Oryctolagus cuniculus: one gene and its partners. The protein of the gene in region 6 interacts with the protein of the main gene of each other region in a pairwise test. Links are inferred from orthologs where the notes say so. Each region holds a gene or a part of one and is shown on either strand. Other genes may lie near its edges. The genes, in order: EIF3E, AP1M1, RAP2A, SDCBP, RAP2B, RUNDC3A and CCNL2.

Region 1 (3,500 bases), on a different chromosome or scaffold from region 6:
GCCCTCTTCAATCTGATTATGAATTGGAAAACTATAAAATATGGATTCCAATACCTATTTTAGGTCAGGGTCTTGAGACTGATCTCACACTCTCTCCCTTCCCTCATCCCACATCCTCCCTTCCTGAGTGTGTTTCAGGAGCCATATAGGTTATAGAGTATAATTTATCCCAGAAACTTCCACAGCAGTCATGAGTTTCAGTGAGGTTTTTCACTAGATGCTGATGCTCCTTGTAGAAGGTTTACTTTGTTTGTATATAATCATTATATGTCATATAATCATTATATATCATAAAATATTTTCTTCCTTACATTACTTGTTGAGCACCTGCCAAGTGTAAGGTACTATTCTAGAAGCTGGAAGGGTTTCCATAAATGCAGAACATGATACCTTTCCTATAGGGATTTATTATGTGGTGAAGTAGAATAGGTTATGGACAGTCCAAGACAATATAAGTATGAACAATGCGGATAGTCATGATATGTAATAGAAGATGACCTAGAAATAACTACAAGTCTGAGTGCAGAATATGGATCAAACACTGTGTACCAAAAAGTAACTCTTAGGGCCCATTTAACTTTTTTTTTTTTTTTTTTTTTTTTTTTTAATTAGTATGTTGGCAGATAAACTGAACATGACTCCAGAAGAAGCTGAAAGGTGGATTGTGAATTTGATTAGGAATGCAAGACTGGATGCCAAGATTGATTCCAAATTAGTAAGTATTATATTAATTTTGTTTCATCCTTCTGGGAGTTTTAAATTAGAACATTTTCTTCAATTAAGAGTTTAATATGTCATATTTTTAGGCAGCAGCAATAACCTCCCATTTTTCCTTAACTGGATAAATGGTGTCATCCCTATAAAAATAGGTAAAATGTGTGCCATAGTGTTGTTAGGTCATACTCATGACTTATTACTATTACAAGGCACAGGGGTGGGTGTTATGGCACAGTGCGTCAAACTTCTGCTTGGGGCACTCGCATTCTATGTTGGAATGCCTGAGATTCCAATAAGCTTTCTGCTAGTGCACCTGGGAGGCAGCAGATGATGTTTCAAGTACTTGACTTACCACCCATGTGGGGATGTCAGCATGGAGTTCTTGGTTCCTGAATTCACTCATGGGCATTTGTGGAGTGGACCGGTGGCTGGAAGATCTCTGTCTCTCCCTCTCTTATGTCACTCTGCTTTTCCAATAAATAAATCAACAAAACTTCAAAAAGCATAATAAAAGACTAATTTTGCTGTTTTCATTTTAGGGCCACGTGGTTATGGGAAACAATGCAGTCTCACCCTATCAGCAAGTGATTGAAAAGACCAAAAGCCTTTCTTTTAGAAGCCAGATGTTGGCCATGAATATTGAGAAGAAACTTAATCAGAATAGTAGGTCAGAGGTAAGAATCACAGATTTTGATTCTGTCTGGAATTTAGCAATAGTGTAACATAATTGTTACTTGAACTCCATTTGAGAACATCTTACTATTCATTGTATCTGTCTTTGTATTTCTACTTAAGAGAATGAATGTTTTATGTAAGAAATGACTAAATGCAATTTTTTCCTGTATTTATTATATACATTAGTCAGGAAACTGGGGAAAAATTATGTTCCTAGTTAAACTATTTTTCTTTTCTTTTACTCTTCCTGTGTGATTTCATTAACTAATATCCAGGGTTTTCAACATACAATTTTGACATTGGCAAGTGATAATTTTCATGTGTAGTCCTCTTCTGAGTCTATGATAAGTGTTATGCTCTTTAAATCTCAAAGATAGTTCTGCGGGGCTGCATTTTGGCACGGAAAGTTAAGCTGCTGCCTCAGAAGACCACTTCCCATATCAGAGAGCCAGGGTTTGAGTCCTGCCTGTGGTTCCAATTCAGCTTCCTTCTGTTTACTCTGGGAGGCAGCAGTTAATTGCTGTAGTTCTTGGGCCCCTGTTGGAATCATTTCAGTAGTGAACTAGCAGATGAAAATAGAAGATCTCTCTGTGTCTGTGTGTCGTGCCTTTCAAATAAGTTAAAATAAAAACCCCAAAAATAACCATTAGCCCCCTGTATTGGTAGTGAGCCCGGTTAGGTGTTGAAGGAACTTGAATGTACCTGTAATTTTGGAGTCCAAAAACCATCTTTAATTCTCTTTAGACATGATTATGTGTAACTGGAGAATAGGAAGGCATGAGAAGCAGTTATGGGACATTCAGTGGCCTTACTAGATTAAATTTTAGGGGCTGGGTTGTCCTTAGCTTAGTCCTTTAGCTTTAAAAGAGAAGGATGAATTAGAATAGGAATTTCATTTCCCAGCCAAGGCCAAGAATAGCTGAGCCTGGAAAATTACTTTTATATTGTATTTTTCTATATATAACATTATCCATTATTGTTCCAATGTTTGTGTTTCTCTTTTTAATTGGGCAGACCTGTATCAGTTGACTTTTTTTTAATATAGGTTTATTTTATTTATTTGAAAGGCAGTTAGAGAGAGGAAGAGAGAGAGACTGAGAGAAATCTTCCATCTGCTGGTTCACGCCTCAGATGGCTGTAACGGCCAGTGCTGGACCAGGCCAGAACTTCATCTGGGTCTTTCACACGGGTACAGGGAACCAAGACTGGCAATCCTCCACTTCCCTCCCAGGCATATTAGCAGGGAGCTGGATTGGAATTAGGGCAACCGGGACTCCAACTAGCATCCTTATGGAATATGGTGTTACAGGCAGCAGCTTAACCCACTGTGCCAAAACACCAACCCTGAATTTTTGTTGTTTTTTTAAGATTTATCTATTTATTTAAAAGTCAGGGTTAGAAGCAGGGTGGGGTCTTTCACTCACTGGTTCACTTCCCAAGAGTGGCCAGGGTTGAGCCAGGCCGAAGCCAGGAGCTTTATGTGGTCTCCTCTGTGGGTGGAGTGAGTCCAAGCACTTGGCCATCTTCTACTGCTTTTCCCAGGCCATTGACAGGGAACTGGAGCAGCCAGGACATGAACTGGTGCCCATGTGGGATACCTGCTAATGCCACAACACAGGCCCCAGTATCAGGTGACATTTTGACGGGGCAACTCATATTAAGTGATTGCAAAGTGAAAGCCTTAAAGCAGCTTGGCAGTAGTAGTGCTAAAGTATGTGTTATGTCACTTTTTTCTGTATTGGCTGTTTTGGAAAGTATTTTTCTTTCACCCTGTCGGTTTCTCTACATATTTTAGGCTCCTAACTGGGCAACTCAAGACTCTGGCTTCTACTGAAGAACTGTAATGAAAAGATGAAAAAAACTACAAAATAAAGATGAAATAATGGAACCATTGTATAAAGAGTGACATACATTTTAGAAATGACATATTGAATATAAATTTTGGAGAATTTGAATAAAATTGGCCATGGTTTATTTTATTTTGATGTGAATGTCCTTGTGTGTCAAATTTTTTTTTATTTTAGAATAGTAATATATTCATAGGAAGTTGTAAAAATAGTAGAGGGGTCCCCCTTTGTTCACCTCATTTTACTCAATAGCACAGTACA
Region 2 (3,500 bases), on a different chromosome or scaffold from region 6:
GGGGCACCAGGCCCACGCCGGGCCGGGGAGGCTTCCATCCCTCAGCCGGTGCCGCCCGTGCAGAGGCCTGGACCGGGAGGGTGTGGGGGCCTCGGTCTCGGAGCTATGCTCCTGTCCCAGGTCTCTGCACAGAGATCCAGGTGGTCAGAGCCCTGTCCCTCCTCCCTGCCCTGCCCCCGCTCACTGTCCATTCAGAGGGAGCCGCATCTGTGTACAGCTGCCGAGCAGCCTTGAGAGTCCACAGAAAATGTGTGATGAAAAAACTGGGGCCGGCGCCATACCACAGTGGGTACGGCCACCACCTGCTTCCCATATGGACACAGGTTCGAGTCCCGGCTGCTCCACTTCCGACCCAGCTCCCTGCTGAAGCCCCTGGGAAAGCAGCACATAGTCCTGGGAACCCTGCCACCCACGCAGGAGGCCTGGATGCGGAGCTCCTGGCTCCTGCCTTCAGCCTGGCCCAGCCCAAACCATTGCAGCCACTGGGGGAGTGAACCAGCTGATGGAAGACCTTGCTGTCTCTAACTCTGCCTTTCAAATAAACTTAAAAAAATTAAAAAAAAAAAAAAACAGGAAAAAAGTATGCATGGATTTCAAAAACCTCTTGTACCCAAATGAACCTCTTTTAATTCCGTTTTAATTTTTAAAACTATTAATTTGAGAGGCAGAACTCCCATGCAATGGTTCAGTCCCCCAGATGCCCACAGTGGCCAGGACTGGGCCAGAACCAGAACCAGGAGCTCTAAGGAGGCCCAGTTAGCTGGGCCCGCTGCCTCCCAGGGTCTGCCTTAGCCACACCCTGGAATTAGGAGCCAGAGCCAGGAATCAAAGCAGTATTGGATCTGGGTGGCTTAATTCCCGGGCAGAACGGGCAGCCCTGGTTCTGTTTCTGCCGCGAACTTTTTCAAATACCTCCTGGTAGCCTGGCAGCTCAGGGTGGGGCTGGAGGCAGCCCCCACCAAGTCCCTGCTGGCCCCAGTCTGGAGGAGATGCTGAGGAGGGGCCCCAGGCCTGGTGCTGTCTGGCAGGGGAGAGTGATTGGGCTTTGGACTGGGCCTGCGAGGACCTCCAGCCTACATGTCCCAGCCCAGGGCCCCGGCTCAGCCCCGGGAGGCGGGCAGGGCCAAGGGACCGGCGCTCACCTGCTGTCCCGGTTGCCGGCTGCTGCTGCAGGTGTTCTCCGAGTACTTCAAGGAGCTGGAGGAGGAGAGCATCCGGGACAACTTCGTCATCATCTACGAGCTGCTGGATGAGCTCATGGACTTCGGCTACCCCCAGACCACCGACAGCAAGATCCTGCAGGAGTGAGTGGGCGCCGGGGAGGGGGAGGGGGTGGGAGAGCAGGTGGGGCCTCTTCCCCGTGCCCCTGCCTGACCCCGAGCCCGTGGCCCCACAGGTACATCACGCAGGAAGGCCACAAGCTGGAAACGGGGGCCCCGCGGCCCCCCGCCACCGTCACCAATGCAGTGTCCTGGCGGTCGGAGGGCATCAAGTACCGGAAGAACGAGGTCTTCCTGGATGTCATTGAGTCCGTCAACCTCCTGGTAGGCGTCCGTCTGTCCATCTGTGCATCTTTGAGAGTGTCCTCTTCTCCGTGATGGCAACAGACACAAGCAGGATGGTGCAGCCAGCGAAGCCCTGGGGGCCAGGCGGTCCCCTGCGAAGCAGATCAGCCCCTGTGGCCGGCAGCTGGTTTTAGTGTCTCCCACCAGCACTGAGCGCCAGCACGCGTGTCACCACGTGGTCGCTCCCTGTTCCCTGTCTCTTCCCACAAAGCCCGGTCACAGGACGGCCCTCCCTCACAGCTTGTTTTCTGTTTTGTGCGTGGTTAGGTTTCTCTTTCTTTTATTTTACATTTTATTTACTTACTTAAGAGGTGGAGTTACAGAGAGTGGGAGAGACAGAGAGAGAGAGAGAGAGAGGTCTTCCATCCGCTGGTTCACTCCCCAGATGGCTTAACGGCCGGAGCTGTGCCGATCCAAAGCCAGGAGCCAGGAGCTGCTTCCGGGTCTCCCATGCAGGTGCAGGGGCCCAAGGACTTGGGCCGTTTTCTACTGCTTTCCCAGGCCACAGCAGAGAGCTGGACAGGAAGTGGAGCAGCCGGGACTCGAACCAGCGCCCATATGGGATGCCGGCAGTGCACCTGGGGGCTTTGCCCGCTCCGCCTGAGCGCAGGTCCCTGCCTTTGTTTCCCTTCTGAGTCTCTACTCATGCAGACATGGGTGCTGATTCCCCTGACCTGGACATAGAACCTCCACACGTGGTCTCTGCTGCCCCCTCAGGGCTGAGCAGGCCAAAACCCGGAGCCAGGAGCTCCATCTGGGTCTCCCACATGGGTGCAGGGGCCCAGGGACTTGAGCCACCTTTTGCTGCTTTCCCAGGTCATTAGCAAGGAACTGCATTGGCAGTGGCACAGCTGAGACTACAACCAGCGCCCATATGGGACGCAGGCGCTGGAGACCGCAGGTTTACCCGCTGTGCCACAGCGCCGGCCCCCTGCTGAATTTTGATTGGTATTGCGTACACGTCACGTCTGTAGATCAGTCTGGTGAACTTCGGCATTTCCATCGTGTCACGTTTCCCAGTCCGAGACCCTGTCAGTCTGTTGTGGGGTGGGGTGGGGGTGTACGTGGCTGTAGACGGCCAGGTGCTACGTCAGTGTTTGGGTGAGTGACCGCATGTATGACAGTGGTCCCAGGAGAACCTACAGCCTGGGCAGGGCTCGCCGTCTCAGTTTCTGTGCTGGTCACACAGTGAGAGAGTCGCCCTGTACGTGTGCTGTCCGGTGTGTGCGGGAGCTGTTTCCATTTCTGAAGCTGTTGTCAGTTGTCTATTCTTAATTTCATCCTCCAGTTGGACGTCACAAGGGTATAGGAATGTGACTGCTCTCTGTGTTGACTGTAGCCTTGCTACACTCACTCATCTGAGGGGTGTTTTGTTGTTGTCATTGTTTTAGATTTATTCCCCTAGGGGCCGACGGTGTGGTGTGGCAGGTTGACTTCCGCCTGCAGCGCCAGCATCCCGTACGGCGCTGGTTTGAGACCCTGCTGCCCGATTTCCCATCCGGTTCCCTGCTCACTGCCTGGGAAGGCAGCGGAGGATGGTTCAAGTGCTTGGGCCCCTTCCCCACGTGGGAGACCCGGAAGAAGCTCCTGGCTTCGGCCTGGCCCAGTCCCGGCCATTGTGGCCATTTGGGGAGTGAACCAGCAAATGGAAGATCTCGCTCTCCCTCTCCCCCTCTCTCCCTCTCCTCTTCTCTCCCTCTCCTCCTCTCGCCCCTCCCCCTCTCCCTCTTTGTAACTCTGCCTTTCAAATAAATAAACACGAGCTCGTTCATTTGAAAGGCAGAGTTGGAGAGTGGGAAGCTGGCGGTCACGTCGGGTGTCTTCCTGCACTGTCGATGTGCGTGCCGCGATGGTTTTCCCAGCCCCACACTCCTGGAACGGCCCTGGCTGGTCTCGGTTTCCTCTTCTTCCCCTGCGTCCCTGGGCCTCAGACCA
Region 3 (3,500 bases), on a different chromosome or scaffold from region 6:
ACATACAGCCCTGTGCTTATACTGGTCTAATTGCCCTTTTGAGACTCACATTGTTGCCAAGATTCAAGTTCTTGATTTAAACAGTGTATTTACAGCTGTTAATAAATTTGTAAGGTTTGAGCATCCACATATGTGATAGATCCTTTGAAAATAGAAGTGTAAGAAATATTTCCTCCTTACTAAGATACTTTGAAAGTTCATAGAAGGCCAAGGTTGTAGCATAGCAGATTAAGCTACCACCTGTGATGGCGGTGTCCCATAGAGGCGCCGGTTTGGGTCCTGGCTGCTTCACTTCCAATCCAGCCCCCTGCTAATGGCCTGGGAAAGCAGCAGATGGCCTTCCACCTCACACATAGCAGACCCAGATGGAGCTCCTGGCTCTTGGCTTTGACCTGGCCCAGTGCTGGCTGTTGCAGCCATCTGGGGAGTGAACCAGTGGATGGAAGATATTTCTCTCTCTCTCTCCAACTCTTTCAAAATGAATAATTCTTTTTTAAAAAAAAAATTCATAAAGGGACTGGTCCTGTGGCATAGAAGGTTAAGTCTCTGCCTGCAGTGCTGGCATCCCACAGGGGTACCCATGGAAGTCCCGCATGCTCTGGTTCCCTGCTAATGTGCCTGGGAAAGCAGTGGAAGGTGGCCCAAGTACTTGGGCCCTTGCCACCCACATGTAAGACCCTGGCTCCTGGCTCTTGGCTTTGGCATGGCCCAGTCCCAGCATTGTAGCCATTTCAGGAGTGAACCAGTGAGCAGAAGATCTCTGTCTCTCCTTCTCTTTCTGTATCTCTGCTTTTGAAATAAATAAAAATCTTTAAATATATATATTTGAAAACTATGGTACCAAACATTAAAAAGTTTATCTTTGTGCAAAAAAATCTTGAAATCCACCCTTTTTTCATAATATATCTTGCATGAACTTTTTGAAGACCCCTTGCTTAATACTATATTTAAACTAAAAAATTTTTCCTTGAAATATTACTCCTTAATAATAGCAAGTGATAGCATATCACTTTCCTTTTAATTGATTTCCTACCTCTTACCTCTTTTGGTCTTTGAATGGTAAACAGAGATTGAAATTAAATTCAACTAGTACAATTTCCCCTTTGTATTCATGTTTATATGAGTAAAATTGACATTTTCAGATTTGATCGTTGTTTACAGCCCTTGTCTTCACCATTGAGGAACAGTGTTTTTTTCTTCTTACTATTTTTGAATTCTTAGTGGCGGGTTAAGCTTATGATTATAAAATAAGCTGAAAGTATGTCATTATAAAAATTAAAAGAATAAGAAAAGGAGGAGAGGAGCAGGAGAGAGGGTAGGGTAGGAAGTACTACTATCCTCCAATATATGTATATATGAAATACATGAAATTTGTTCACTTTATATAAATAAAAAATTATATAAAAAAGTTACTTCACTGCCAAGCAAAGCATACTCTTATGTATATACTCATAAGAAAACTGCAGTGCAGTTACATCTTTGCAAGTAAAACAAGTTAAAAACTGACATTGTTCTGACACAGCCGGCAGTGTAAGCTGGCTGCCAAGCTCCTCTGTACAGCACGTCAAGGGAGCCTGCATGCAAAGTAGCTGCTACATGGTGTTTTATGACACAGCTTCATTTTCACTGCCATTCGCCCTGCCTGAGGCCAGGGGTACACATATTGGTAGGTAAGAGTCCTAGAAGATGTGAAGAACATTTGGGTCCAATGTTCAGAGCTACCAGCATGATCTAAGGCTGAAATCAAAAGGTACAGTTGGTATTCAATAAATTCATGTTGAAGCTGTTTGATAGAAATTAGATCTGTCCAGGTTCATTTGTTTTTGCAAGTGATAATACCCAAAGTCTAGATTTACCCTGGGTGATGTCACTCCCACTCGTCTTTAAGTTGGCATTATGGTTTACATCTAAATGACATACTTCCTGGAGCATGCCCTCACTCACTGGGACCACCATTCTTGGTTTGATGTAGTGTCAAAGGGAAAAGTGAGGTTCTAAGGGGAATAGGATTTGTTGTGCAAGTTAGGTAAGTGAAACCATCTTGACAGGATGAGGGGATTGTTAACTACCTATCTGATCAGCATCCTAAATGCTAACAATGCCATCCAAATCCTGTCTCACCCGACCAAACTCCTAAAACTATCTTTAATGTAAAAATGATAATCTTGGGCAAATATGTTAACTACATTTGTTAGAACAAGTGCAAACAAGAATAGTGAATAAACAAACTAGTTGTTTTTACTCCATGATGTCTGTTGTGCCCATGTGGAGTAACCATTGTGGAGCCCCCATCTTAATGTACCTCAGTGATTTAGGAACTTGTTTTGTTCTTTTCTTCTTACATATTAGCTTTATCAGTGGAGTTTCTTCTAAATATGTTAACTCAGATCAATTTTGGTTAGGAAGAAAAAGAAATAACATCAAATAAAGCTAATGATTAAAGTGTGTGTCATCCTTGTCAGTCTTAAAAGAAACAGTGTCTCTCATCTAGCTAATTTCTAATAGTTTTATAAAGGAATCAAGTGTAGTTATATTTCGTGGTTTCCATCCTTTATGATTTCTACTACTTGTTTAGGAACTTACTAGAACATGATTAGTTTTAGATACTTAAAGAAGGTACTAATATTCTGACAATTGTGTTTGTTTACTTAGAACTATTTATTACATGATCAACTGGGAACTTCAAGTAAACAGCTCTTAGAATGAAAAAAAACTTTAAATGATCCTACAGATTTAGCCTGAAATTCTGAGAATATTTTTCCAAAGGTATCTGAAAAGGCAAATTGCTTTTTAAGGATATATAGGGATGGCACTGTGGCGTAGCGGGTAAAGCCGCTGCCTGCAGTGTGGCATCCCATATGGGCACCAGTTTCCAGTTCCTGTTGTGTCTGCTCCAGTTCTGATCCAGCTCTCTGCCATGGCCTGGGAAAGCAGAAGATGGCCCAAGTCCTTGGGCCCCTGCACCCATGTGGGAGCCCCGGATGAAGCTCCTGGCTCTTGGCTTCAGATCAGCACAGCTCTGGCCGTTGTGGCCAATTGGGGAGTGAACCAGCAGATGGAAGCTCTCTCTCTCTCTCTCTGACTCTCCTTCTCTCTGTGTTAACTCTCACTTTCAAATAAATCTTTTTAAAAAATGTATAAATGAATAGCCTAAAAATGCTCTCAGGTGGGTGTCAGATCAAGGGTGCAAATAGTTGTTCATGCAACTAAAGAGCCCATTTACAGCAGAATATAGTGAAAACTGAACAACATTTTTTCTGTTTTGTTATGTGCTAACTACTACAATATTTGTGTTTCTGTTTCTTTTCTCACAGATATGAGAAAGTGCCAGTCATCTTGGTTGGGAACAAAGTAGACCTGGAGAGTGAGCGAGAAGTATCGTCCAATGAAGGCAGAGCCCTTGCCGAAGAGTGGGGCTGCCCCTTTATGGAGACTTCCGCTAAGAGTAAAACAATGGTGGATGAACTCTTTGCAGAAATTGTGAGACAGATGAACTATGC
Region 4 (4,008 bases), on a different chromosome or scaffold from region 6:
GCTCTGGCTCCTGGCTTCCGATCAGCTCAGCTCCAGCCATTGCGGCCATTCCGGGAGTGAACCAGTGTATGGAAGACCTTTCTCTCTGTCTCTCCCTCTCAGTCTGTAACTCTACCTCTCAAATAAATAATTAAAAAAAAATGCTGTCCATTTATCTTCAAAACCAAGAAAATTTAACATTTTTACAATTAAATTATCAAAATTTCTAAAACAGTATTATCTCCTTTCACTTAGACAAATTCATGAAATGGCATAAAAATGTAAAACGTGTTCACTGGCCTTAGACGGTAAAAAGTGATGATGATGATTTCTAGCATGCTGAGGGTAAGATTCAGTATAGTTCCCATTGGTATTGAGGAACACAGTTAACGAAGTCCTACACTTGGCCAAAAGGCAGAGAAGCAATACTTGATAAAGCCCTAAACAATCTTCCAGAGACTGTTTCCCAAACTTGGCCAATCATCAGATTAGAATCACCTGGGGCATTAGTTAAAAATAGCTTCCCAGGCTGACACAGATTTCATGGAATGGACTTAAGAACTCTTCTTTTTAACAAATATCCAGGGGGATTCTGCAGATCAGCCATTGAGCAATCCAGCCACAGGAAGTTCCCATTCTGACTTACAGGACTAGCAAAAACCCAGTTTAACAACACTTGCTGATGCAAGGCTTTGAGAAACACCTATGCATCACCAGTTTGGGGAGTGTAAAAAAAAAAACACACAATTTTCATGAACAATGGGTGCCCGGTATCTATGAAAATTATAAATTCAGATTCCCTCCCACCCGGTCATATAACTTCAAGTCTTCAGCCTAAATATACATTTGCACAAAGGAAGCAACATGCACAAAACTAAGAGTTCCAAAATACTTTGATTGGAAAATAAATGCATGATGTACAGCAGTATATAAAGTATTTTAATTGGCTCATTGAAAGGAAAGAAATATATTTGGACATTCGCCTGCACAGGAATAAAATCTCTGGACGAAATCCAAGAAACTGAAAACAGCGGACAGCCTATCATAAAGTAATACGGTTGGCTAGACGACACAAACAGGAGATTTTTAAACCGGATACTGTTTTAACTGTGGCAGTCCTGAGTCAGTGACTGCCTACCTCCTCAACGAGGAAATAAATTAAAAAAAAAAAAGTTGGCAGCACTTGGAAAGAAATAAATGACAATATAACTATCAGGTGTAGGAACTCTTTCAAAGTTGCTTGGGGGAGTCTTTTCACAGTCTTTTGGCATTTACCTTTAAAAAGTTCCCCAAACTCAAAAAAACAGGAAAAACAAATAGTTGAGTAACTCTTCATTTCAAAGAACTGTTTTAAGTACATTCAAGTGTCAACCATCAGCAAATTATTTCCCCTTCGTTCCTGATTTTTATAGTTTCTTATAATACCCAAAACAACTAAAATTAATGTTGCCAGAGTTAAATTTGAACTAGGATGAGGTGACCATTCACTTAACTTTTTAAACGTCATTTCCTTTTGTTTATTCTGTAACCCAAACCACTTGGTTTATGTACCCTTTAAGGCACTAAAGTTTACAGAGCTGAGTAACAGATTAGGTGAAAACAATTTTTTTTTCTATTTGCACTAAACTTCAAAATAGGAAACTGACCAGATTAGACAAATTTGAGTTCTCATTGATCACACAGACTTTTAGAAATCAATCTAATTAGAAGGCCTGCAGCTGCGTTTCGACTTTCCCTTTTTAATCCAACAGTTTTCTCTTTAAAACAAATGGATGTTTAAGAATTTGGTAAACTGAATGTACTTTCTAAGTAACGTCCTTAACGGGAAGAAAAAGAAAAAAAAACCTGGTAAATTTTTAAGCATAGAATACAGTCAAACCAGGTAACCCTAGAAGGTCCTTTCAAAAATCACACAACAGAAGACGCTAATGATTCCGTAATCCCAGCGCGGTGAAAGGAAAAAGTTTCCATATCCACACTGCCTGCACTTCCCCATTATTCCAAGGAAATCCCGAAACGAAAGCTCTGAGTCACCAGATCTCAAAGGAAATACGCGTGTTTCCTTCCGAACACACCCCACTGGAAACGTTCTTCCCTCGGCTCCAACTTCTCCAGCACCCGGCGCGGAGCCGCGACCGCTTCCCCACCCCCTCCACAAAGTCAAGGCTTCGCCCGCGGAACAAACACCGCCCTCTCCCCTCCCGGAGCCCGGGCGTTCCTGGCGAGCCACCGAGGAAGGTGACTGAGTACAGCCCCAGGAACGCCGAGCACCGGGAGGCTCCGTGCCCAGCGGCTCCTTCTTCACCCACCTCCGGAGCCCCTCTCTCGAGGAACAACAAGGGTCCAGAAACCCGTCCCGGAAAGAGAGCCCAGAGCCGCGCGGGGCTGCGGGCGCCGCCAAGAGCGGGGGCCTCGGGGTTCCGTCCACCCCACCCGCGGTCCGGCGGGACCCCGACTCCGACGGAGCGCGCCGCTCCCGAAACTTCCCTCCTCAGGCCCAGCTGGGGGCAGGGAAGGACGCGCAAGCCCCCCGAAGAGCGGGCGTCCTGCCTCCGCCGCCTCCCGAAAACCGCTGTGACGGGGGCGCTTTCCGTTAAGTGGCCCGAGCGGTCCACGTCCCTTGTCCCCCGAGCCCGAGGTGTCGCGCGGACGTCTCCCCCTCGTTCCCAAAAGCTGCTCACCTAGACCACAAGGACTCGCTCGCCGCCGCCGCCGCCGCCGCCTCGATCACTGATGCCGACTTCCGAGACCCGAGAAAACGAGAGCGGCGCGCGCCCGAGGACCGCCCGCCAGGCGCGTCACGGCACCGCCCCCCCCCCCACGGGGCCTCGGGCCCGCGCAGGCGCACGGCGCCGGGTCAGGTGATCCGGTCCCCGTGGAAACCGGATGGCGGGGGGTGGGGCGGGGCCATGGAAACGGGGGCGGAGCGTGGGGGGCTCTCTTCTGGGGTTCCAAGGGTCACAAACGTCTGGCCGCCCGCACCGCCCACCGTCGGGGGCGCCAGACTGCCCAGCGAGGATGCCCAGTCTGCCCTCTGCGGTCCCGTCGCCTTATGCTCAAGGAGACCTCGGGACCCGCTCACTGCGTGCGTTCCCCCGCCTGCGGTCACCTGGTTGGCTTCTAATACAAAGAGGTACCGAGAAGCCAGCCTTCCTCTTGGAAGGTTTTCCTTGCCCAGCTTCCGGCTTCCGTCACTGCTGTCCAGCAGTCACAGTACCCTGCTGGTAAACTCCTCCCAAGACCCTTTCTTAACTCCTGCCCCATTTATCTGGGTTTTTTGTTTGGGCTTTTATTACTTTTAACGTTTGTTGTTAAAGAGGTGTAATATTGTGCAATGATAGCTGTAGCCTAACACAAAAACTTAAAAACTAGCGTTTCTTGAGTGCTATGAGCTAGGCATTATTCCAAGAACTTAATGTATATAATCTTATTTAATCTTTACATCGAACTGTAAGATAGGTACCAACGACCCATTGCAGAGTAATCAGTTACTTTGAAATACCAGAGCCCTTGACAAAATATCATTAATTTACAAGAAGTTTATTGGTAACTAATAAAAATCTGGGCACAGAAGTGATGACCTGTAATAAAGTTGCCCTTGGGGAGCTTATAGTTTAGCTGATGTGAAAAACATTTAAAAACAATCACACAGTAGCTTGGGAAGGGAACACTTTTTTTTTTTAACATGATTGTGATAAAATTCCTAAGAACTGACTCATACACACAAGCTAATAAACAACTGTAGCAAAGCTGCAGGGTATGTTGCTGAACAACCCCGAAGTTGCTATAGAACCCCCAAACCTGGGTCCGCTTGCCTGATACGCAGAAAGCCAACCACTGACATTGGGGTGGCAGATGAAAATAGGTATGTACTGCTAAGTGCAGCGCGAGGAGCTGGACAAGCTGTTGCTCAATTTCCAGGCTCTCAAGCACTTAGAGGTGAAGGTTCTCGTAGACTGAAATTGGAGCTGAGAGGCGTATAATCAGCTCACATCCCAGTCCGCGGTTGGTCAGTGGCGCTCCTGACCT
Region 5 (4,193 bases), on a different chromosome or scaffold from region 6:
AGCACAACTGCTCCTCAGGCAGTCAGGTGACCTGGCCAGACCCAGGGCTTCCTACACCTGGCAGATCTCCTCCCTATTTAAGTGAGAAGTAACATCACCAGCTTGTCACCAAGCTTCAAATTTTGGCAAACAACTCTGGAGAGCATCATGCACCTATACCTGTCCAACTCAGCCATGACACTGCATTAAATCGTTGAATACGAAACACAGAAACACAAACAATAATTCTGGGTTTGTTTCTTTTAAAATGACATTTGTATTAAAAGTCTTAAAACGAAGAGACAATGATGAAACACATGGAATTAAAAATTACAATTAGAATTCCCTTGGTACATCACAACAGTAAAATTTTGCTCTTTGCTTCTGGAGGTACACCCTATAACAGATAATTAAAAAAAGTAAAAATAATATAAAAAAGGAGCTAAATACCTGAACATTGGAACAAAATGAAGCCAAGAAAACAAAACAAAAAAAAGAAACCCATTGCAAAACATGGCAATTACATTTTAAAGGCTGAAAATAATAAAGAAATTCACTGAACAACAGGTCCTATTGTCCTGGCTCCTTCAGGAAGATTACTGAAAGGAAACTGAGAAGTGGTTGGGGGATAGCAGATTCTGGGGTATGATGGGAAGTTCACAGGTTGGCACCGGCTGGAACAGCTGAGTTTTGAAGGCACTCTGCAGACACAGGGGTGCTGGGGGCCCTGAATCACATTGACAAAGTCCTGGTACTGTATTTGTAAAAGCAAGTCATTAAAATCTGTTACTGCCAACCAAAAAAAAAAAAAAAAAAAAAAAAAAAGAAAGAAAGAAAAACCTAAAAGCTAAATTTATAAAACACACACGCGCGCGCACACACACACACACAAATAGTACACAAGAAAATGTGCAGATCTGTAACATTTTTTTTCACAGCTGATAAAAAAAAATACTACCATTCTCCCCCAGGCTCCCCTTTGATACAGTAGGTAAACAAAATAGATTTTTTTTTTCCACAAATATCAGCAGACACTTTCTGGCACCCCACACTGTATTGGCATCAGTGTTAACAGTCCCAGTTCAGATGTGCAATACTTCAGATTGGATACACTGTAACAAGAATCCAACTTTGCATAGACATCCTCAGAATCGCAATCAGTCACAGGGTCGCCCTTCCAAGCTGGCAGAAAAGGAACCCGATCTTAAATTCCAGCTACTCCTGGAAAACAAGGGAAAAACACACACACACACAAACACACACAAAAGTTTCTTCCTCCTCCTTGCTCCTTCATATGGTTCTCCCGGACTTCCTTCCACGTATTTAAAACTTGGAAATAGAAAACAGTTGTTGTTACCCCCCCAACACACACACACACAAAAACGGACACCCCCTCCTCCTCCTTCCCCGGCACTTCCTTCCCTTCCCCCCTTCCCCCATCTTTTTCCAGGCTGAAACTTTTGCTTGCCGGGTGGGTGTCAGACTGCCAATAACTGCGCCTTCGGGGGAGGGGGGAGGGGGGAGGAAACGGGCGTCAACCAAAATCAATGAGGAACGTACATGCTGCAAAGAGCCCCAATTTCCACCACGGTGTCGGCTGGGCAGGACGGGGCGCTCCCTCGGACACGGGGCGTGGAGGCCAGCGTGGGGGGGAGGGGGGGAGGCTCCTGGGGACGCCCTGGCCACTGCAAAGTCGTCTCCCATCTCAAAGCCGGACGAGAAATCCCACGGGGAGAGTCGGTGCGTTTGGCTTTTGTGCGCGGAGCGCGGCCCGGGGGGCGCGTGGCGGCCGCGGCGCCTCAGAGGATCACGCAGGCCGAGCAGCAGCCCTCGTCGCCGTTGGGCTGCGCCGCGTAGTTCATCTGCCGCACGATCTCGGCGAACAGCTCGTCCACCGAGGCTTTGTTTTTGGCCGACGTCTCCATGAAGGGGCAGCTCCACTCCTCGGCCAGGGCCTTGCCCTCGCCGTACGAGACCTCGCGCTCGCCTTCCAGGTCCACCTTGTTGCCCACCAGGATCATGGGCACGCGCTCGTACCGCTTCACGCGGATGATCTGGTCCCGCATGGGCTTGATGTCCTGGAAGCTCTGCTGGTTGACGAGGCTGTAGACGAGGATGAAGCCCTGGCCGTTCTTGATGTACAGGTCCCGCATGGACGCGAACTGCTCGGTGCCCGCCGTGTCCAGGATCTCCAGCACCGACGGCGACGAGTCCACCTCGATCTCCTTGCGGTAGAAGTCCTCGATGGTGGGGTCGTACTTCTCGATGAAGGAGCCCGTCACGAACTGCACGGTGAGCGCGGACTTGCCCACGCCGCCCGAGCCCAGCACCACCACTTTGTACTCTCTCATGGCTCCGTCAGCACTCGCCAGGCGCCCGCCGCGGCCCCGTCGGGGCTGCGCGCCGCGGAGGGCTGGGCTGGGCGGCCGGACCGCTCCGCCGCCTCAGCGCCGCAGGAGACACCCGGGAGACCGCGGCCGAGCGGCGCGGGGCGCGCGGATCTCCGAGCGGGGGCCGCGCGCCCGGCCGGCCGGCGGCGGCGGCGGCGGCGCGTCCCTGGGGCGCGGGTCCGGGGCCCCGCAGCGGTCGGCGGCGGACCAGAGGACAATGCCGGCAGCCTAAGGCACGGCGACGGCTGCAGCCCCTCGTCGCAGCAGCCGGCGAGCGCTGGGCAGCGGTGGTGGCGGGCTGCGGAGGCGGCTGCTAATTGCGCGCCGGACCGGGACACTCGTGGCATGAGTCCCCGCGGAACGTGCGCCCACCACCGCGGCCCATCGCGCTCTCGCCTGCAGCCTCCGCGGGGCGAGGGCTTCCTACTCGCCGCGCGCAGCCCGGCCCTCCCCGCCCGCGCGAGCATGCCCAGTGCGCCGCAGGCCGCGCCCCGCCCGAGCGGCCGCTCCGGGTTTTCTGCGGGGCCGAGCCGAGAGGGCGGGGCTGGGGGCGGGGCTTGCGAGCGGAGTCGCCGGGAGTGGAGGCGGGGCGACGCGAGCTTGTGGGACTGCAGCAGGCACACTGCGGGGGAATGGGGCGGCAGAGGGGCTTGGCGTGCTCGAACGCGAGCGCTAAGGCCCGGCGAGCCAAGAGAGCGCGCTTGCGGAATCCCATGACCAAAGGCCGGTGCAGGCCGCCAGAAGCGCGGACCGCGGACCGGACCGCTGCAGGTGCGGGCTGGGCAGAGCAGCCCCCGAAGCCCTGGCAAAGCCCTTGGTAAGCCGTTGTCCCCGGAAACGCTGCTCCGCCAGTTCCCGGGACAGAGCGAACGGGGTGTAACTCTAGTGCCTTGGGTCACTGTCCCCATCCGAGAACAAACAGCTTCTGGGGAACCCGCGGCTCCATCCCAGCAGAGTCCCAGAGGGTCCCGCCCACCTCCTCCCCCACTGTGCTGCGGCCAAAACCCGGAGCCCGGATCTGACAGTGCCGGCGGCCCGCAGTTAGGGCATGCTCAGTCGGCAGAGCAGGTTTTTTGGGGCTTGGAAGTAGGAAGCTTGGTGCAGCTCACACCCACACGCCAGCTCAAATTACTTCTCCCAGACTCCGCACTCATTGGTCCCAGGACGTGAGTCGCACACCCCCGAAGGGCCTCCCATTGGCTGCCGCCAAGGGTCTCTCCGGTGCGGCTGCCTCATTGGCTGAAAAGTAGCCTCCGCCGGCGATTGGGTATTTATAGAGATTGAGCGGCGAGGTGGAGGCCCAGCTGTTCCTTCTCCGCGGCTCCCCGCCCCCTTCCTCCCACTCCCCCACCCCAACCCAGTCGTTTGGAAGCGGAGAGTGAAAAAAGGAATTTAGGCGGGGTGCGCAGAACTAAATATAGCCCTTTGTGGCTGTTTTCGAGAGCGTCTGACTCGCCCGGTCACGACTGTCCCGTCCAGGGTGCAGAAGGGGCTGGTGACAGTGGCCCGCGCGCGAGGACCTGCAAAGTTTGCCAGGGCTCCGCAGCGAGGGCGGCGGGGCTGCGATGAGCAACGGGCGCTGGAGGGCTAGGGGGGCTGCCCTGGCTTGCCTTTTCCCTAGCATCCTCGCTGTCGGGCGCGCAGTTGCTGGACTGGGCTCGGCTCGCGTCCCCGCTCCTGGGAGGAGCTGGGGAGCTGCCTCGACCTGCCCCGAGCCTGCGCGATGCCCGGCCGAGCAGAGGTGTCGGGACCTGCCCAGCAGACTTGGCCTTGGCAGCTGCGCCCCAGGGCGAGGGCGAGGGCGAGGGCGTGGGCAGGCAGCAG
Region 6 (3,955 bases):
GGGGAGAGCCATGGGATGCCGGTGTGGCCAAGGCGCTGGAACCACGCGTGCCCTGTCCCTCTCCCAACCTTGTGAAAAACCTGAGGCTCCCTCTGCTGTTCCCACCCCTGCAGTCTTCACCTGCCATCCCCATTGCCCTGTCGCGGGTGGCAGAGCAGGGGCGGGGCAGGATGTCCAAGGATACGGGAGCTGTGTGAAACTGTCCTTTTTCTCTCCCCTTGGAATGTGCCATGCATGCAATACGGCCCTGGGAGGCAGGGTCTGTCTAACCCCATTTGACAGATAAGGAAACTGAGGGGCCCTAAGAGGTCAACTGCTGTGTCCAGAGCCACAGAGCTCACAGGGTGTATCTGACTTGCAAGCCTACGCTCTTGCCGCTATGTCTTATGGCCTCCGGATGCCTGTCACCAATCACCCTGCTCTCCTCTGCCCTCCGTACTGCACTCTGCAAGGTGACAGCCCTGGAGTACCGGCTTCCAAGGCTCTCAGGCCATGGCATAGCTGAGCCCGAGCCCACCCGCTGTGGGCTTAGAGTTGGACCGGCCTGAGGTCAGAGGCAGGTCTGGGTCAGGGCTGCATTGGGGAGAGGGAGCCTGCTGCATTCAAATTGTGTCCTTGGGTGCACGCAGGGTGCTGGGATCTGCCTCACTAACGCTGGTTCAGATCCCACTGCCTTCTGCCGGTGGGCAGGGAGCTGGGCCATCACGGGAAGGCAGCCTGTGCGCAGGGCGTTTTCTGGGCCTCGTGATGCATCTCCTTCCACTTGGTCATCTGGGTCAGCCCTCCATGGGGGCCCGGGGCTGGATTTGGCACGGCAGCCATCTGCTGGACTCCTGAGGGCTGCTGCGGAGCTGGTCACGGCCCTGGAGCCCCATGGTGTGCGCCCTGGTAGGAGGTGCAGTGGCTGCTGCGGGTTACCATGGAGACGAGGAGGCCAGGGCCCAGGGGAGCCTGCGGCCTGCTAACGGGAACTGTTCTGGGAGCTGGAGGCGAACCATGTGACGGCAGGCATGCAGCAGAGGCCTGAGGGGCATCTGAGCCTTTGTCAGGGTCTGGATATCCCCCAGCTCTAGCCCCCTCCGGTCCTCCAGAGCCCTCCTTCCCCCACACCTGCAAGAGGTTCAGCCATCCTGGCACCTAGGAGGTCAAGAGCAGAGACAGGGGCAGGAAGGGCGTCACCAGGACAGGGCTGGTGCTGTGTGCGGGAGGGCTCCTCCGAGGCATGCCACTCCTGCGCCCTGGGGCGGCTCTCGCAGGTGCGATGGGGATGATGAGGTGCCCAAGGCCCAGAGAGGGTAGGAGACCTCGCCAAGACTGCACAGCCAACAGGAAAGAGCTTGAACTGAGGACTGTCTGGCTCCACACTGCCAGGTCTGTGAGGATGAGGGCAGAGGCCATGGCTACACTTGGGCTGCCCTCCTTCCTCCCATCACATCCGGGCATTTTCCCAGAGGGCTGATGCACACAGCACTGTGCCTGGCACTGGGGTACGATGGTGTGAGACAGACGCAGTACCCTTGGGTGTGTGCCCAGGAACCTGGAAGGAGCTGTGGGAGCCAGGAGTGCTGGCATCAGGTGGGCACCAAGCACCCTGCTCTGGGAGGGCACCAGCTGGCAGCAGCGGGGGCAGAGGGTGCAGGTGGATAAGGCAGCTGGCATGGGGCTCCCAGAGGGAGAGGGGCGTACGAGCATGGGTGCACTGTAGGAAGAGGGGCTGAGACGCTGGCCGTTCCCAGCCTTGGCAGGACAGGACCGTGAGTCACTGCACGGCTGAAGGCTCCCTTCTCGGGGCCCAAGAAAGCAGTCAAATCTTCCCCAATCCTGCGGCAGCCCCACCCTCCACGGCCAGCGGCCCTGCCCTCCCAGTCTCCTCTGCCTGAACCAGGCTTGGGGACCCAAGGCCCGGGTTCTCCTCACAGCCCGGGAGTGCCCCTCACCCTTCACTGGATGGGCCTGGGGGCTTTGCCCACAAGCCCAGTGTGACCCCGCCAATGGCTGCCGTTGTAGGGGAGGCGCCGTCTCCTCCAGGATTTGCGCGTGGCAGTGGAGAGAGGTCAGACAGGGGGTGGCCATGAGGGTGCGTCGGAGGGCGCTGCTTCCCCCGTGGGTGCCCCTCGGCCCGTCCGCCCCCGCTCCCAGCCCGGGAGCCAGCCGTCCCCACTCCTCCCCCTCGCGCAATGTCACTTCCTGGTGTTCACAGGAAGCTGCAGTGCCAATTAAGCCCCCTCACCTCCAGGCCCTAGGCCGGGCAAAGGCCTGGCCTGGCTGGGAAGAGTAAGGACCGGCTTCCATGCCTCTCGGTTCCGGGCCCTGGGGAGGCGGTGCGTGCGCTCCTCCTAACCCTTCGTCCCCTCCCGTCCGCGGCAGCCGCGCTCCGCCCGGGCTCCGCAGCCCGCCCAGCCTCTGCCCCGACCGGCGGCGCCCACCTGCACACGGTGATCAGGTTCCTGCGCTCCACGACCACGTTCCGGGAAGACGCTTTCTTGGAGGACAGCCCCAGAGCCATGGTGGTCTGGACAAAGCTCGCTTCCATCCAGATGTGCGGCCACTGCTGCCGCCGCCCTCTGCCCTCCACCCCTCCCGGGGGCCCGGCCCCCCTGCCGGATCACGGCTGGGCGCTCAGCCCGCCGGAGCCCATCGACCCCTCCGCGGCCATCCCTCTGCCTCTGCGCCAGGTGCCCGGCCCCCTCGCTCCCTCCCACGGCGGCGATTCCGAAGCAAAACAAGGCCGGGGAGGGAGCTCTCCGAGGTGCTGAGCCGGTCCCGTCACCCCCCCTCCCCCAGCAGCCCGCCCCCCTCGGCCGGTGACGTCAGGGCCCTCGGGCCCCGCCCCCCAGCAGGCCGGGGACCAATCCGCAGAGGGTGCAGGGGTTGAGGGGAGGGGGAGGTCTGGGGCCCCGGGGAGGGCCGAGGGGGTCCCCGGGAGATGCGGAGATTCGAGGGTGGAACAGGGGACCTGTCTTCCACCTCCGGGGGTCCTCCGCTCGCTCTCTGGGCTGCGACACCTACTTCCTGCTTCTGACCTGTGACGGATGCTGATGGCTATCTCTCGTCCCCTCCCCCTGCCCCGGGGGACCTGGGGAGTGGAGGTCCTGCATCCCGACCCCGCCCCCACCGGCTGCCCGGACGTCCTCAGCGCGGCCGGATGGCGTTTGCTGAGCCCGGAGGCCAAGGAGCCGACCGAGGGACTGCGCATCTCCAGGCCTGTCTGTGGCCAGGCTGGACTTGTCTTCAGGGCCGGGCGCAGCCAACTTCCCTCGGGGCTGGAGGATGGGAATGCAAACGAAGCCGTAGCAGCCCAGCGCCGGGAACCACCCGGGGCGGAGACTGGGGGAAGACTGGTAGCTAAGGGCTGGCTCTGCGAAGGTTCCTGGCGCCCACAGTCGCGGTGGCACCTAGGCGACTGGAGAGGGTGGCACCCAAACCCCTCACCACCTCAAGGGCCAGCTGGTTCAACAATTAACCCCTTGGTTGCCAGCATTGCTGGATGATGCCATCAACCTTCTCTGGAAGCCGGGCGGGTCCTGCAAAACAGGTTGCAGCTTTTACTAGAGGGGAGAGGAAGGCCTAAGCTGGCCCCCCAGGTCCCTGCTCCCACCTGCTCCGTTCCTCTGTTCAACCCGTGCCACTGCCCATGTTTCAACTGGGTTGCTTGCTTTTCGTTGGTGTTGAGTTTTAGTTCTCTATATCGACTAGCTATCAATCCCCTACCAGACGTGTGCTTTATCAATATTCTCTCCTGTGGGTTACCTTTTTACTCTCTTGCATTTGTCTTGTGATGCATGCAATTATAAACTCTCCATAAAGTCTTTGGTCCATTTTGAGTTAATTTCTGGATATATTATCAGATAAGGGTCCAAACTCATTTTTTTATTTACCAAAAACCATACGTTTATTTTACCACTACCCACCACTGCATTTGCCTCAGACAGGTACCCAGGGAGGTGTCTGCAGC
Region 7 (3,500 bases), on a different chromosome or scaffold from region 6:
GCCGCGGGGAAGTCCTGCGTGGAGGGAGGGTGACGGCGGCTCCCGGCCGCCATGCGGGCTCCGGCAGGAGTATTTCCTTTGTCTTCAGTATAATCTTTAAAATATTTGAGAGGCGGGCCGGCGCCGCGGCTCACTAGGCTAATCCTCCGCCCAGCTGCGCCGGCACACCGGGTTCTAGTCCCGGTCGGGGCACCCGATTCTGTCCCGGTTGCCCCTCTTCCAGGCCAGCTCTCTGCTGAGGCCCGGGAGTGCAGTGGAGGATGGCCCAGGTGCTTGGGCCCTGCACCCCATGGGAGACCAGGAGAAGCACCTGGCTCCTGGCTTCGGATCAGTGCGATGCGCCAGCCGCGGCGGCCATTGGAAGGTGAACCAACGGCAAAAGGAAGACCTTTCTCTCTGTGTCTCTCTCACTGTCCACTCTGCTGTCAAAAAAATAAAAGAAATAAAAGAATTGTTAAAAAAAATATTTGAGAGGCAGAGTTAGAGATCTTCCATCCCCTGCTTCATTCCCGAAGTGGCCACAGTGGCCAGGGCCTGGCCGATCCGCAGCCGGGAGCCTCTTCCGGGTCTCGCACGCGGGTGCGGGGTCCCGGCCGCGTTAGAGGGAGCTGGATCAGAAGTGGAGCCGCCGGGACTCGAAACGGCGGCCATGTGGCGAGGCTTACCCTGTATCTTTTATTTATTTGTCAGGCAGAGGTAGACAGAAAGGTCTTCCTTTTGCCATTGGTTCACCCTCCAATGGCCGCCGCGGCTGGCGCATCGCACTGATCTGAAGCCAGGAGCCAGGTGCTTCCTCCTGGTCTCCCATGCGGGTGCAGGGCCCAAGCACCTGGGCCATCCTCCACTGCACTCCCGGGCCACAGCAGAGAGCTGGCCTGGAAGAGGGGCAACTGGACTAGAACCCGGGGTGCCCTCGCCGCAGGTGGAGGATCAGCCAAGTGAGCCGCGGCGCCGGTCCCCCGTATCATCTTTTATAAACGTTTATTTGAAAGGCAGAGCAGCCTTCCATCCGCTGGGTCGCTCCTCACATGGCCGCAACAGCCAGAACTCCAGCTGAGGCTCCCACGTGGGCGGCAGAGCCCCAAGCCTGGCCCCTCCCCTGCAGGCCCTGGCCGGTGGGCCCCCCCCTCCCCCTGCACACACCGGTGCCCGCAGCCTCGCTGAGCAGTGTGGAAAGGCACAGCCAGGCTCGGCTTTCGGGGTGCTCCCCGGGCCCCCCCGCATCAGCAGCGGTGGGAAGAGGCGACTGCAGGAGCTAACTGGGGGCCCCGGCCCAGGTGCTGTCGGCCAGCCCGGGAGCTCCCACAGGGCAGCAGGAAGCCGGCTCACTGGGGCTGCGAAGCAGCCTGCTCAGGGCCTGGACCCCGACCCACAGGGCCCCCAGCCAGGCCGCACGCAAGCCTAGGAGCCCAGGCCAGGAGTGGAGGCAGCCGGCGGGTGGAGCTGAGGGAGGGAGCGGGAGCCAAGCAGCAGTGTCCAGGGTCCGCAGGATGGCCGCCCCGCAGACGTGCCTCGGTGCACAGGCTGCCTGCCCAGGGCCCCCGGGGTGGGCCACCCGTGTTGTGCTCCCGGCGTGTGGAGCCACGCTCCCTGGTGCCGTGCCTGCCAGGACCATGACACGGAGACCGCCGGCCCTTCCCTGGGCTGCCTCGTTCCTCCTGGCACTCCCCAGGGCCTGCTGCCGCGGCCCTGCACCCGATCCCAGGGCAGTGGTCCCACCGCTGCCCCCCAGGCCCCTGGGGCCACTGCTCAGAGGTGCGTCCTGGGAGGCGACCACCAAGGTGCCATGGGGAGAGCCAGGCTGCGACTCCTGGACCTCGGAGCACTTCCGTCGGGGCCTCAGCTGCCGCCCACGGCCGAGCAGCGGCACAGGCACAGGACGGCTCAGGACAAAGCCAACACTTTAATGAGCAGGGAGTCGGGCAGCAGCTGCCACGGCCCTTGAGTGGAAGCCAGCTGGGCCAACTGGACAGGCCAGCATGTCGGCGGCCAGTCTTCAGTGTCCGCATGTCCTGAGTAGTCTATCCATCCACACGTAGCAAACTCGAGGAGCTGGTGCCCGCACTCAGCACTGCAGATAAAAACAGACGGCTCCACACGGAGCCAAGTACCTTCTCGTCTTAAAGATCAGGATGCCCCACGTGGGCCAGCGCTCAGCCGGCCCAGTCCGGGTTCCGAGTGAGCGTCCACACGAGGCTCTGACCTGTGTGCCACACGCCTGTCCACCGCGTGCTGAGCCCGAGGGGCTAAGGCCGATGCCTCACCCCAACACTGCAGACAGGGGCCCGAGAGCCGCTCTCCGGGAGTCGCCACCGGGCCTCGGGTCAGGAGGGGGACAGCCAGACGTTAGCACCAAGCCACACCCACAGGGCCCTGCGCCCTGCTCTTCTGCTGAGCTGCCCGTGGGGTCCGGCCGAGGTGGGCCTTGCACAGGGGCGCCACCCGGCTCCTCAATGCCATGTCCAGGTTCACCTCAAGGTCCAGCATCAAAGACCATTTCCAACCAGAACCGCGCTCAGGCCGCTGGAGCCGAGGGCCTGGGCAGGTCCGGGTCTGCCTCACCTCCGGTGCCGGCTGTGCCCGGGGCGGCCCCGATCGTGGCGACGGCCTGTGCGCTCGTACGACCGCGAGCGCTCCCGCCGCTCATCTCGGTAGTAACGACTTTTCTTCTTGTATTTGCCAGAGTTTTCTGCCCGCTCCCGTGAGCGGCTTCGCGAGCGGGAGGAGCTGCGGCTCCGAGACTTGCGTGGCTTCTGGGGGGGGCACTTGCAGTCCTTGGGCTTCCGAGGGCCCCGCGCCTCGGAGCTCCTGCAGGGGGCGCTGCGGGGCGCCTGCCGGGGCGGCGAGTCGCTGCGGCTCCGGGAGCGGCTCTGAGACTTGGACCCGCCGGACGTGGAGCCGCTGTCACTTTTCCTGAGGAAGGGCACACTCCACCCGTGTGACCGCCGGACCCGGCCAGGGCTCCCACAGCACCTCCAGCCACCCTGGGGGACTCCCACCCACGGGCCGGGCACGCACCTCCTCTTCGGGGACGTGGACCGGGAGGGGGACGGCGAGCAGCTCTGCCCCGGGCTCCGGCTCCGGCTCCCGCGCGCCTTGGGCAAGCTGTGAACGGCAGTGCAGCGGCTGCAGACGGCGCCCGCGGCCGGCCCCGCGCACCGGCGGCCCCGCCCCTTACCCGTTCACCGGGCTGTCGGCCTTGGCTCTCCTCTTGGTGTCCTTGACGGGCGGCGGGGAGGGTTGGTTCCCTTTGGCTTCCTTGGGGGATTCCACTGGGGTCAAGCACAATGAGAACCACTCAGAAAACTGCTCCGAGGAAGCAGCTCAGCGCAGCCGCTGCCAGCCTGGACGGGTGCGTGCGTGCGTGCGTGCTCACACATGCGCACCGGCTCCCCTCGGGCCGTGGGCGTCCTGACTGCCAGCATCAACCTGTGGCGCCAGTGACGAGCCCTTCAGCGGGGGCACCGTGCTGCACCGAGCCACCGCCGGGACGCCCACCC

What was found.
Region 1: the proteins of RUNDC3A (region 6) and EIF3E interact in binary tests that used the Homo sapiens proteins (3 or more experiments, as listed by UniProt). The two-hybrid records come from large-scale screens. The link is inferred for Oryctolagus cuniculus from reciprocal best matches to the Homo sapiens genes RUNDC3A and EIF3E.
Region 2: the proteins of RUNDC3A (region 6) and AP1M1 interact in binary tests that used the Homo sapiens proteins (3 or more experiments, as listed by UniProt). The two-hybrid records come from large-scale screens. The link is inferred for Oryctolagus cuniculus from reciprocal best matches to the Homo sapiens genes RUNDC3A and AP1M1.
Region 3: the proteins of RUNDC3A (region 6) and RAP2A interact in binary tests that used the Homo sapiens proteins (3 or more experiments, as listed by UniProt). The link is inferred for Oryctolagus cuniculus from reciprocal best matches to the Homo sapiens genes RUNDC3A and RAP2A.
Region 4: the proteins of RUNDC3A (region 6) and SDCBP interact in binary tests that used the Homo sapiens proteins (3 or more experiments, as listed by UniProt). The two-hybrid records come from large-scale screens. The link is inferred for Oryctolagus cuniculus from reciprocal best matches to the Homo sapiens genes RUNDC3A and SDCBP.
Region 5: the proteins of RUNDC3A (region 6) and RAP2B interact in binary tests that used the Homo sapiens proteins (3 or more experiments, as listed by UniProt). The two-hybrid records come from large-scale screens. The link is inferred for Oryctolagus cuniculus from reciprocal best matches to the Homo sapiens genes RUNDC3A and RAP2B.
Region 7: the proteins of RUNDC3A (region 6) and CCNL2 interact in binary tests that used the Homo sapiens proteins (3 or more experiments, as listed by UniProt). The two-hybrid records come from large-scale screens. The link is inferred for Oryctolagus cuniculus from reciprocal best matches to the Homo sapiens genes RUNDC3A and CCNL2.

What each region holds. Positions count from the first base shown.
Region 1 is NC_091437.1:133,416,678-133,420,177, reverse strand, and holds the end of EIF3E (eukaryotic translation initiation factor 3 subunit E), read left to right. Parts: intron 1-612; coding exon 613-715; intron 716-1,256; coding exon 1,257-1,391; intron 1,392-3,187; coding exon 3,188-3,226; 3' UTR 3,227-3,371; downstream 3,372-3,500. UniProt on the Homo sapiens protein: Component of the eukaryotic translation initiation factor 3 (eIF-3) complex, which is required for several steps in the initiation of protein synthesis.
Region 2 is NC_091447.1:64,736,438-64,739,937, forward strand, and holds part of AP1M1 (AP-1 complex subunit mu-1), read left to right. Parts: intron 1-1,173; coding exon 1,174-1,304; intron 1,305-1,396; coding exon 1,397-1,544; intron 1,545-3,500. UniProt on the Homo sapiens protein: Subunit of clathrin-associated adaptor protein complex 1 that plays a role in protein sorting in the trans-Golgi network (TGN) and endosomes.
Region 3 is NC_091440.1:14,994,598-14,998,097, reverse strand, and holds part of RAP2A (ras-related protein Rap-2a), read left to right. Parts: intron 1-3,314; coding exon 3,315-3,500. UniProt on the Homo sapiens protein: Small GTP-binding protein which cycles between a GDP-bound inactive and a GTP-bound active form. In its active form interacts with and regulates several effectors including MAP4K4, MINK1 and TNIK.
Region 4 is NC_091437.1:83,752,871-83,756,878, reverse strand, and holds the start of SDCBP (syntenin-1), read right to left. Parts: upstream 2,801-4,008; 5' UTR 2,661-2,800; intron 1-2,660. Other genes in the region: uncharacterized protein, read left to right, coding at 2,866-3,203. UniProt on the Homo sapiens protein: Multifunctional adapter protein involved in diverse array of functions including trafficking of transmembrane proteins, neuro and immunomodulation, exosome biogenesis, and tumorigenesis.
Region 5 is NC_091435.1:127,889,249-127,893,441, forward strand, and holds the start of RAP2B (ras-related protein Rap-2b), read right to left. Parts: upstream 2,801-4,193; 5' UTR 2,331-2,800; coding exon 1,779-2,330; 3' UTR 1-1,778. UniProt on the Homo sapiens protein: Small GTP-binding protein which cycles between a GDP-bound inactive and a GTP-bound active form. Involved in EGFR and CHRM3 signaling pathways through stimulation of PLCE1.
Region 6 is NC_091448.1:18,967,078-18,971,032, forward strand, and holds the start of RUNDC3A (RUN domain-containing protein 3A), read right to left. Parts: upstream 2,801-3,955; 5' UTR 2,534-2,800; coding exon 2,427-2,533; intron 1-2,426. UniProt on the Homo sapiens protein: May act as an effector of RAP2A in neuronal cells.
Region 7 is NC_091438.1:164,147,183-164,150,682, reverse strand, and holds part of CCNL2 (cyclin-L2), read right to left. Parts: intron 3,273-3,500; coding exon 3,179-3,272; intron 3,106-3,178; coding exon 3,019-3,105; intron 2,914-3,018; coding exon 2,559-2,913; 3' UTR 1-2,558. UniProt on the Homo sapiens protein: Involved in pre-mRNA splicing. May induce cell death, possibly by acting on the transcription and RNA processing of apoptosis-related factors.